Linked DNA regions of Drosophila melanogaster. The protein of the gene in region 2 interacts with the protein of the main gene of each other region in a biochemical or structural test. Each region holds a gene or a part of one and is shown on either strand. Other genes may lie near its edges. The genes, in order: Lrrk and EndoA.

Region 1 (5,158 bases), 1.7 Mb from region 2:
GTAGAGCCTCCAGGCGCAGATGACGCCTGTGCCGACAAACACTTTTTAACACCGAAGCGCGAAACGATGTGGCAGACGAGCTACTGCCCTTTGAGGAGGCCGTCTTGTAGTCGTCATCTCGACCCTCTGGTAGCTGGACACAACTGTAGCACAGTAGATGCGGATCCGATTCAGTAATTCGCGGTAAACTTGGCCAGCAGGATATCTCGTTGTGACTTAGATCCAACTGCTTAAGTGTTGCCGGGTAACTGGTTACATGTCCCATAGAACGCAGACTGTTGTATGACATATTCAGCCGTGTTAGGTTTACAGCCAGACAGGGCAAAGCAGCGGGGATACTGGTGAAGAGGTTATTTGCTATATTTAAGCTACTTAGCTGGGAGGAGCCCACACCAGCTGTCTTTCCATCGCCTAAATCTTGTTCATGCTGCCACTTCATGTCATTATCGGTTATGTCCAAAGTAGCCGACCATAGATTGCGATGGGTGAGACGTTGCTGAGTCACATTTCGCGGTTTGTTTGATGGCGGCTCCTCAAAAGATTGCAGATTCAATTTGTCTAGGCTCAGCAGCGAACTGCTAGTTTGCATTGGCGGCACAGGAAGATCCCGCAATAGGTTGAAGGCCACATTAAGTTCGCGCAACTTGGGTGCACGCCACAGGTCGAAGGGAAGCTGTTGCAGTTTGTTATTTGAAACATCCAATATAGATAGGGCGGGCAGGTGAAAGATGGCGGCTGGCAGCGTAGTTAACTGGTTGTCTTGTAGAAAGAGTTCATCCAGTACCGGACACCCATATGTCTGGCCTATTGGTGCAGGTAGATCGGTTATCTTGTTTTGCGCCACATTTAAATACCTTAAATGAAGGACTAATATAATTCTTGAAAAACTTATTACTTTGTCTTTACTAACCTTAGGCTAACCAAATGGAAAAGCTCCTGTGGAATTGACGTGAGAACGTTGTGCGAGAAATCTATTCGCGTGATAGCTGTCAGAGCAACCTCATTAAGTCGCGGATGCGACTGTAGCTTAGGATTCAGCAGCAACACACCGCTGACCATCCAGGGAACCCTTACAACAGACAACTGGACACTGGAGCCCATGCTGTGCCAGTCAATAATGGTTGGATTGTTGGGGAACATAGCACTGTAAGATATGTTGCTGGTGGACGGCAAAAACACGTTCACCTCCACTGGTGTGGGAAGACCCTTCTTGTTGATCTTGTAGTCTGAGTCCGGATGGACTCGTCGGGCCAAAAGACGACTCAGGATGGCCTCGTCGCCGCATGTAATAGCCATTCCAATGGCCGTGCCATTATCGTCGCGGGCTCCATGCTTAAGCAAGAGATCCAACATAGCCAGCGACCTTTGCTTGCAGGCCTCTGCAATGGGGACATTACTGAGCCCATATATTTCCTCGCAACATTTCGGGTCGTTGTGATCCTCAACTGGCTTGGCTACAATATTCGGATTTGCGCCGTGCTGTAGCAGAGACTGCACCACGTCTAGGTGGCCGCCTCGAACGGCCGCAAGCAGAGCTGTTTCTCTCGCCGCTCCACATAGCAGATTCACGTTAATGGGACACCGTTGGCACTCGGTTGACTCTTGTGAAGCTAGGTCGTCGGGTCCTTCTGACTCTCCAGATATGTGCAGTTTGGACATGATAGCCTGAATGCCAAATGAAATACGTTTCCTGGTGGGCGTAATAGGAGTGCTCACCGAGCTGGCGGAATCGCCCAACGTACGCCGGCAATGGAGCTGCCACTTTAGAAGCACACCAACCAGCTGCTTGTTTCCTAGGATGCTGGCAATATACAGACTCGTCTGACCCGTCACATCATGAGCGTTAGCGTCGAAGGGGAGCCGCCATTCCCACTGGCCCTCCTCGTCGCGATATGTCTGGTAGAGGTAGTCGGGATAACTGTAGCTGATAAGGAGTTCCAGCAGCTTGATGTGTCCATTGATGCAGGCGGCGTGCAGCGGCAGCCAGCGCTCTACAGTCGGCTGCTGGATCAGTTCTGGAAAATGGTCTAGCATCAGTCGGGCAATGCCCAAGTGACCGCTATGGACGGCGGCGTACAAGGGTGAGTACTTGGTCACGGCATGGGAGCGACCATCCGCTCCAGCATCCAGCAATCGCTGTGTAATGCTCTCGTAACCAGACTGGCAGGCTCTAAAACGAGACCGATATTAGTTTGGCTCAAAATGGACTAATTCTAAAAGACTTTTTCTCACAGGAATAGAAGGGTGTTTGCTCCTGAAGGAGCCATATTGACTATAATCTGACGCTCAGTTCCAAGAGCTGCCAGCAGCACCCGCACAGTCCGCTCATCGCCAGAGATCACTGCCGTTCGCAGCTCCCCGTGCTTGATCTGACGCACTTCCTCGCGGGCATCTGTGAAAGATAAGTTTTGCTTGGTTAACTAATACACAGCACCTTTGGAATAAACCAATTCCCACCCCGTATTGAGGATGCCTCAATGACCTCATCCACGAAGTAGTCACAGGCTTCCAGAGCTGTTTCAGTTCCAGTTTTGGGATGTTCCATGCTGAATTTCCATGACATTATGTAACCCAAATCGGTGCGAATAAGCCCCAAAAATTAATTGGCATCGGTATGATGACCGAACGCGCCGCTAGCAAAAACTGAACTGCGGAAAATCGATGGCCACGTTTTTGTGGTCATTGATCCAGGCCGTTTTATGTCGCACTGCGCAAGTCGGAGCCCAAGAAGCGCGGCAACTGTTGCACTTGTTCAAGAATGTGGCATTGGGTGAGTGCGTGGCATTTGTTTTGATTTGTCTCTTCGTGGGTGTCGGATGGTCCAGTGGTTGCACCAGTTGCTTCTGTGGGGGGTGGCTGTTTGAAAAAAGTTTTTGCGCGCCCACTTCCATTGCACCAATGTCACCCTGTGCCCTTGCTGGTGTTGTTGAAAAACCAATAACAACTGGTTGAAGTTTTAATTGCACCACTTAGGTAATTTGCATAGTCAAGCGTATAATGCTCATTTGCACTCTGACTAAATTTGCGCAAAACTAGCATATTGTGCATAATTTCACTAAAAGTTGTGTTATCTCACCTTCGTCGGAGTCGCTCATTGTTTTGGTTTGTGTACTTCACGAGATATCCAAGTCATGCATGGTATGTGTTAAATGGGTAGTTGTTATGGTCCGATTAACCAGTAGCACCTTTTACTGACCCTTACTTAATTATTTTGCACATTTTGCGAAATTTTCACTTTGTTTACCTTTTTGTCAACAAACAGTGTAACCTCTTACTGTTTTAGAATATATCTCCTCATTTTGGCACGATATGCTGTTAAGCGCTCTGTGTGACCGAAATATCGCAAGTGAATGCTGTTAATCAGTGTCGCACGCAGGGGGCTTCGTACTTTTCTCCAAAGATTAAAGCCAGCTTAATAACTAAATCATAATCTACCCAAAATCATTGATTTTTATGTCCATTGGCTTAAATTTATAAATTAAAATTAATTTAACAAGGCCGAACAAGTATTTGGAAGACGCATTTATTATTTTTATTCATACACATCTAAAAATTTGTTCCCAAGTGAAATATTTGAAATCCCAACTGATGCTGAAATATCTCATTTCTGATAGCATACATATATAAATACCAAAACGCGATAAGGTGGTCATCGTTTCTGTTACTTTGCACTGCTTGTCAACTCAACAACAGTAATATCGATATTATTTAAATCAGTTAAGCAGTGAATCACTATCGACTGTTACTTTTTGTTGAATTTTATTTTGTATGCTATGATTTTATCTAAAAGAATTTGATTCTTAGGAACTGTTAATTATTTTTATTTATTTTTTTTTTAACATGCAATTTCCTGTTATGACTGTTTACGAACAAGAATTTATTAGCACCGTGTATTTGTGTATATTTTATAAATACTGATGCCAACTGTAACCTATATCGATATAACAATCGAATGAAACACTATCGATATTAACCAGCGCCAGCCTAGAACGCCCTGTGTTCAACAGGAGTCACCCTGTGTTCGTTAACAGACGCTTAACAGCACGATCTCAACAATACAAATAAAAACAATTTAATATTCCTTAATCGAACACAAATTTGAGCCGATTGCACGGTGCGTTTGAAAAATAACAATACCGCGGAATGGCCGACAGAGGCCAACTGAAGGTGCCGGTGCAGAGAATCAAGTAAGGAGCAGCGTAAACTGCGCAGCTCACACCCAAAAAAAAATCGCTATAAAGGCGAGGGCTGGCCAAAATGGAAGCAAAAAACAAAAACAAACGAGCTGCGCCACAATGCAAGTGAAACTTCGATGAAAACTTGCCAATCCGTGTGCTTTTCAAGACTTTTCTGACTGTCTGCAATTTCCATTTTTGTGGCATCGCGACTTAGAGATGAGACATCGGTGCCGCGTAACTTTTTTATACCCTTTCCGCGGTATCAACTCCACCCGTTCGGTCACGGAATTTGAACATTTGGCTCTGAAATATGCCTTAATGGCTTAGATTTTCATTATGGAAACTTTTCTTTCAACGGCCATATCGAATTCGTTATAAATCCTGCTTACTTCAGTCATTCAACTGCCTAAAATTGCAAAAAAAAACACGTAAGGGCATTCATAGGTCGCCTTGGCTGACCCTGAATTCTTGTTTTTGTTTTCAAGTTGACCCCTCCCACCCCCAGCCAACAACTTATGACTGTGTGATTCATACTAAATAAAAGTCAGCGTTTTTGTTTTAATTAACAAGAACCGACGATTTTAGAGGCTGCTTTTCTATTTTATCCCATGTGGTAAAGGGCGGTTAGAACCAACTCAGTTTTACAGTGCATCAATGGATGTTATCCAGATCTCTGATCATCTCGAGGGCAAAGCCAAGGGAAGGGGTCGCCTTCTTATCAACGGGTGGGCGGTTGATTTTTAGTAATTTCCGTAATTCGACACCAAAACAATTATCGGTACATATATCGCCATATGTTTTCTTTCAAGTAACCCGGCGCCACCTTCTTATTTATTCGCAGAGAGATTGGCGTGCTGATTTAAATGGAAAACTTTGAAAACAACAATCTGTTGATAAGGTAACCAGCGAAATGCGGGACAACTAGCCTCCGTAGCCTGAAAGAGGCCATTGAAAAGTCTAATTAGGAGGAGCTGGTGATC
Region 2 (6,628 bases):
CTTTGGCCTCCCCCCCCCTCCCCCCCTTACCACACACACACACACACACACCTTTGCACCCCTTAAACCAGCATAGGAAATTCCGGCATTAGGCTTATTTAAATTTTATTGCATCTATGTTGGTCGATTGCTAAGCTAGGAAGTATTGGACACTAAGGCAGCCGGAGGACAGGACTAGAATCCTAGGCAGCAGCTGCTCCTGTGGGACTGGCGGTGGCGGCCAAACGGGCCTGCCACTCGTCATCGATGGCCTTCAGCTGGTTCTTGGCCGTGGTCAGCAGAGGCTTGACACAGCGTATCTGCAGCCAGGGCAAAGTGGCGTTGTTGCAGCCACTGATCGACTCCTCCGAGGTGGCCACCACATCCAGGACGCGCTCCGCCAGGTCGGCGGGAAAGTCAGGCTGGGAGAGCAGACGCTCGGCTTCGCGTTGCAGGACTATCGACTGGAAGAATGAGGAAATCGAGGCGCCTCCAAAGGGAGCAGACGGTGCCACGGGAGCGGCTACACCGGCGGCAGCTCCTGTGCCAGCACCTCCGAAAATTCCATTTAGGAAGGGATTAAAGGCAGCCGCATACGGATTGGCGGCGGCAAAGGGATTTCCGGCAAGGGGATTTCCAACAGTAGCTCCAGGGCCCTTACGAGTAAATTATGATAATTCGGTTACATAATAATCCACTTAATGGGGGGGCCCATATCCACAACTCCTCACCTGTGCACTGATGCAGGCAATGCTGGCCGCCAGTAGAACAATTGCGAATTTCATTTCTTTTAATTTATCTGAGTTCACTTGGTTCTCAGTCGTTGGGTTTCGTCTAGACTAATTGCCAAAAGCACAACGGCTTGCGGCTTTTATACGCCATTAAAAACACGGCAGGGAGATCTTATCTCTGATATCTCAACTATTACTACTGCGATTGAACTGATTTACATGTTCATTGTTTGTTCGGTGGTGCTAAGTACCTCTCGGGGGTTATCTGTTCAGATAGAGCCAGAATATATAAAAAAAAAAAAGGTGGTAAAATTGCTACTTCATGCTGTGAACGTCACTGGTTTTTACGATGCAAATGGGGTTTAATTTTTGCCTGGGATATATTTGCCACCTTCTAGAAAGATAAAATTGACTGCTGTGCTACTGGTTATTTTGCGCACAGTTATTTTGGTAAACAGGATAAACATGATATTTTCTTATCCATTCTGAGTCATTCCATTTTTATCTTAGCGTAACATTCATCAGCAGTTATACAGCTTTATTTTTGCTGAGTACGTTTTCTATCAATATAATATATTTATGTATTGTAATGTTAGAATTTTACGCGCCAAACTGTTATTCTAATCTAACAGCTATTCGATTAACAGCATGTACAAGGACAGAGCAAATACAGAGACCGACAGTGGGACCGACCATATTTATTCTAGTCTAATAATTCTGCCAATCAACATAGATTTCAAATTCAAATTTATAATGCATTAACATTATAAGTATTAGATATTAAATGTAAGATATTATGTTAACTGTTTATGTGCTTCTGGCTTCTTAATATAAAATATATATATTACTTTAATTTTTAATATTGTTTTGATATATATATATAACTATCTAATACCCCCCTGCAAAGAAATTAAATGAAAATGTTAAGTTGTACCTCACATCTTTAACATATGCCTAGAGATGAGCGTATCCCGTGTATGTCCGTTGTTGTATGCGAATGATTTTGGTATTTTACGAACCACCGGTCACACTGAATGTTTTTTAACAGAATTATCGATAGTCCCGCAGCTCCAGTGGCTTAGTGCCGTTGAAAATTGTTGTACACAGTCAAGATATTGATTTTTGCGAGCCGAGAGGAAAACGCGACCCCACAGCCCCCGCCCCCTGTGCGCGACCAGTAGTAGTAGTAACGACTCACGGTCCTTCAAACATTACGCAGCCCAAGGTTCTGGAAAAAATCGAAGATTACGAGCAGAGCAACAAAAAAAAAAACGGGGCAGAACGTGCAGAGCAAGCGAAGCGAGTGAAAGTGCCCGCAGTAGTGGTCAGCAAAAGTAGAACTCGAACTCGGGCTACAGTTCACCAAGCCAATTCGAGTTTCCCGACTCGCAGCCTCCACTGAGCGAGCAGAAGAGCCCCGGAAAGTAGCACCCCCAGCGGAGAAGGAACGGAGAAAAGTGCAGTACGCGTAAGTCTTCCAAACGTAAACGTTTTAAAAATAGACACACTCAGCCAGCCAGCCAGCCAGCCAGGCAGTCGGGCAGTCAGTGAGGCAGCCATCCAGTCCATTGATGAAATTGTTGACTTGATGATATTGACATTGAATTTGAAATCGAGTCTCGACTAACCCAACCAACCCGTTCACAGCAACTGCGTCGAGCGCCCCAAGACCAATTTAATCAGAGGAAGAAAACCAGAAGAGACAGCAGCAGCCATGGCTTTCGCCGGACTCAAAAAGCAGATCAACAAGGCCAACCAGTATATGACGGAGAAGATGGGCGGTGCCGAGGGCACCAAACTGGACATGGACTTCATGGAGATGGAACGCAAGACGGACGTCACCGTGGAGCTAGTGGAGGAGCTGCAGCTAAAGACGAAGGAGTTCCTGCAGCCGAATCCAACGGCACGGGCCAAAATGGCAGCGGTCAAGGGCATCTCGAAGCTGTCCGGACAGGCCAAGTCCAATACGTATCCGCAACCGGAGGGCCTGCTCGCGGAATGCATGCTGACTTATGGGAAGAAGCTCGGCGAGGACAACAGCGTGTTCGCGCAGGCGCTCGTCGAATTCGGCGAAGCGCTGAAACAGATGGCCGACGTCAAGTATTCGCTGGACGACAACATCAAGCAGAACTTTTTGGAGCCACTGCATCATATGCAGACCAAAGACCTCAAGGAGGTAATGCATCATCGCAAGAAGCTGCAGGGCCGGCGGCTAGACTTTGACTGCAAGCGTCGCCGACAGGCCAAGGACGATGAGATTCGTGGTGCCGAGGACAAGTTCGGTGAATCGCTCCAGCTGGCCCAGGTGGGCATGTTCAATTTGCTCGAGAACGATACGGAGCATGTCTCCCAGCTGGTCACCTTTGCCGAGGCACTATACGATTTTCATTCGCAATGCGCGGATGTCCTTCGAGGCCTGCAGGAGACACTGCAGGAGAAGCGCTCCGAGGCGGAGAGCCGGCCACGCAACGAGTTCGTGCCCAAGACGCTGCTCGATCTGAACTTGGACGGCGGTGGCGGCGGCCTCAACGAAGATGGCACGCCGTCTCACATTAGTTCGAGCGCCTCGCCGTTGCCCTCGCCGATGCGTTCGCCCGCCAAGTCGATGGCCGTAACGCCGCAGCGCCAGCAGCAGCCCTGCTGCCAGGCCCTCTACGACTTCGAGCCGGAGAATCCCGGCGAACTGGCCTTCAAGGAGAACGACATTATCACCCTGTTGAATCGCGTCGACGACAATTGGTTCGAGGGCGCGGTGAATGGCCGCACCGGTTACTTCCCGCAGTCGTATGTTCAGGTGCAGGTGCCCCTGCCCAATGGCAACTAGGCTATTCCTCATCCTGTTCCTCGTATTAATCCCGATCCCTAAACCAATCCCATCCTATCAAACTGGCTGAAGACGTACGTAGATCGCTGATTGGAGAACAATAACCTTAATTGTTGGTTTCGCCACCAGAGGCGCGAAATTGGGCAGCCCAAGCCGATGCAGAAGCAGGAGCAGCAGAAGCAGCAGCAGCAGCACATAAATGCAAATATATATATATAGTTGAATTAGATGAGCGGGTTACTACGATTACGGATATTACGATACGGCTTAGCTAGCAGCACACAGCAGGCTAAATTCATGGTGGCCATAGAGCAAGCTAACTAAATTTTATGTGCAAAATTATACCAGTTGGCAACACAATAATTAACAAATTAACTACGAGTTAAATTAATGTACGTATTAACTAACTAAATTTACAAGACGTTACGCGCGCAATGCCACTTCCTTGCGTTTTTACCTTTGATTCTCAAACGTCAGCTTTGTTGTTCGTTGCAAGTTGCGAACATTTAGTACTACTTCACACAATAGATCGATCACGTATTAGAACAGTTGGTCCGGCGGCAGAAGCAAACAGAAAAACACTCTAGCTAATTAACTAAATTACCCGTGTAATCTTAATCACGCCCATGGAGGCGCGTCTCTTTTGTCTTTCCACCTGAGTTCTTCTAGCCTCCAGTTTTCGGAGGTCTTTTTATCCGGTCTCATCGTTGTAATTTAAACCAACCTACGCCAATGCGCTCTCTATGCAAATGTCCCTTTATAGGCTAAAGCTACGTATCCACACCATACGCCCGCCCACATGCATATACATATTTATTATATACCCGAAAATACCTACATATACCTACTCTACCTACGTATATTTGTGCAAAAACAATACTCCCCACACTCTATTCTAAAAGGCATACGGAATACCGTTCTTGATGTTCGTTGTTCAATGTAAAGAATAATTCAATTCAATTTTTCGAGGATGAAACAAGCGAAATTTGTATCCTACTTTTTGCTCCTTTTTATGTGTGTTGTTTTTTTTGTTTGTTAATTATATACATAACAACTATATATATATATATTAAATGAAATCAAATATATGTATAAATATATTTATTAAGCGTATTATCTACATGTATATTTATTATTATGTATTTATTATAAATTATACTGAGCAGCAACGTAAACAATATAATGAATATTTAAACGATGATAACAGATAAAAAGTACTAGCGGCAAGTAAATGTAACAGAATCCTCCTAAACAATACCAACCAACAAGCATAATACTAGTTAAACGATTTCCACAAAAATGTTGATAATAATAACTTTAAACGTAAGCAAAATCCAGTCAAGTCAATCGAAGCATAGCAACACTTACGAACCTACTAACGCGTTTACCAACCGCAACTCTAGATCAAATATTTATATATTTAACGAGATAATAATAAACATTCGACGGCAAACCGATAAAATGATTCAAAATAGTCTCATGTTGGCATACAGCTATGCACGATATACATACGAATGTATATACATATATATACTCGTACGTTTAGGAATGATATACACAAGATACATATATATTTACGTATGAAGAAAACCATTGAATTGAAAGCCATGCAACTTGTGTTGATAATAAATTTGTTAAATGCCAAGAAAACATTTAACAGAATTATATATTCGAGTGCGAAGATGAAACATTTGCCTCGTGGACGGACAGACTGCCAGTGCGAACATTTCCAGAGGATACCCCATCTGGGGAGGATCCACCCATCGCCTGGAGACTATCTTTCCACGCGATACACACTTGCCCCACGTGCAGCGGGGCCCGAACTTCAAACAATAATTATTGTAATTTTGCATTTTTGTGTGGGCGGTAACTTGAATAATATATATTACAAGGCATATACATAATAATAATAACTATGCTAAAACTGAAGACCCTAATTTATGCAAACCAAAATTAATAAAATTTAATTTTTAATGTGTCTTTCGTTCAAAGTCATAACTGAGAAACAACAAAAAAAAAAACAAGCAAACGTCGTTTACTCTTTGATATTTCCCATCTGACCTTAAAACCATAAAACGTGCTGCCTGTTGTGTAACACAGAGACTCGAATGCTGCTGGGAATGGGTGGTGGTGGGCGATGTGGGAATCCGGAGGCGCCACCAATAAACTACAACAGAAGCATTGAAATTTTCGATTTTCCACACACAGACACAGGCAGCCGCCAGCACACCCTCCCCTCCCCTATCCCACTGACCCAGTGGGCATGACATTGAAACGTGACGCAGCATCCAACCCCTGATGCCCACGCCTCCAGTCCAAAAAGTGGGTGAGGTCATGCTGCCAGGACACGAGTGTTTGCCAGTCTGGGCTGATGCAACCAATTCAGTCAGTGGGGGAATCTTCAGTCTTCTTTCTTTGCCAATTCTGTTGGCTATTTTTTTGGCATTGCGCAGGTGAAAATCAAGGCAATATATTTTTATCTGTTTGTTTGTAAAAAGCAATTAAAGTTTTCCCTTAATGTAAACTTGGAAATTTGTTCAAAGAACATACATATGTACATACTCTAAACAAATGCTTAATTCTTATGATTACCATTGCTTTTGAAAACATTGATCTTTTTATTAGCCATGCTTAAAGATTAGCAGCTCGCTTCAAAGTTAAACAAAGTTTATTATTGAAAGTATTGTATGTTACTTTTTTTTTATTATTTTAATAAGAATATACATTAATATAATATTATCATTTCTACCTTTTGCAATTCCTATTTGTATGACCGCAACTGTAACGGCATGTGAAGTGAAAAACATTGGCATGGTTGAGTTATCAACCATTGGACATGCGATAAGACAACACACCCAATCTATTGAATACTCTTAGTCAGACCTACGAGAAGACCACATACTCCTCATACTGACCGAGAATCCTGCGCTTGGGCCGCTGCAACGCCTCGTGGCCCAAGGTCAGACAGACGGGCTGATCCTTGTAGACGCCCTGCTCCTGGAGCACAGCGTGCGGAGCACATCGCCAGGGATCCTTGGTGGCTACCTGCCAGTCGAACAGTTGCTCGCGTAACTGCTTCAGGGTGCCATTGTAC

What was found.
Region 1: of the proteins of EndoA (region 2) and Lrrk, one has a biochemical effect on the other in vitro, tested with the Drosophila melanogaster proteins (one study listed by BioGRID).

What each region holds. Positions count from the first base shown.
Region 1 is NT_033777.3:20,633,575-20,638,732, reverse strand, and holds the start of Lrrk (Leucine-rich repeat kinase), read right to left. Parts: upstream 3,254-5,158; 5' UTR 3,096-3,253; coding exon 3,077-3,095; intron 2,918-3,076; coding exon 2,645-2,917; intron 2,635-2,644; exon of another isoform or gene 2,546-2,634; coding exon of another isoform or gene 2,458-2,545; intron 2,393-2,457; coding exon 2,233-2,392; intron 2,171-2,232; coding exon 911-2,170; intron 855-910; coding exon 1-854.
Region 2 is NT_033777.3:18,904,843-18,911,470, forward strand, and holds EndoA (endophilin A), read left to right. Parts: upstream 1-1,766; 5' UTR 1,767-2,178; exon of another isoform or gene 2,179-2,357; 5' UTR 2,358-2,424; coding exon 2,425-3,534; 3' UTR 3,535-3,608; exon of another isoform or gene 3,609-3,663; 3' UTR 3,664-5,913; downstream 5,914-6,628. Other genes in the region: CG14292 (uncharacterized protein), read right to left, coding at 183-635, 711-764; Sgsh (N-sulfoglucosamine sulfohydrolase), read right to left, coding at 6,418-6,628. UniProt on the Drosophila melanogaster protein: Required presynaptically at the neuromuscular junction. Implicated in synaptic vesicle endocytosis.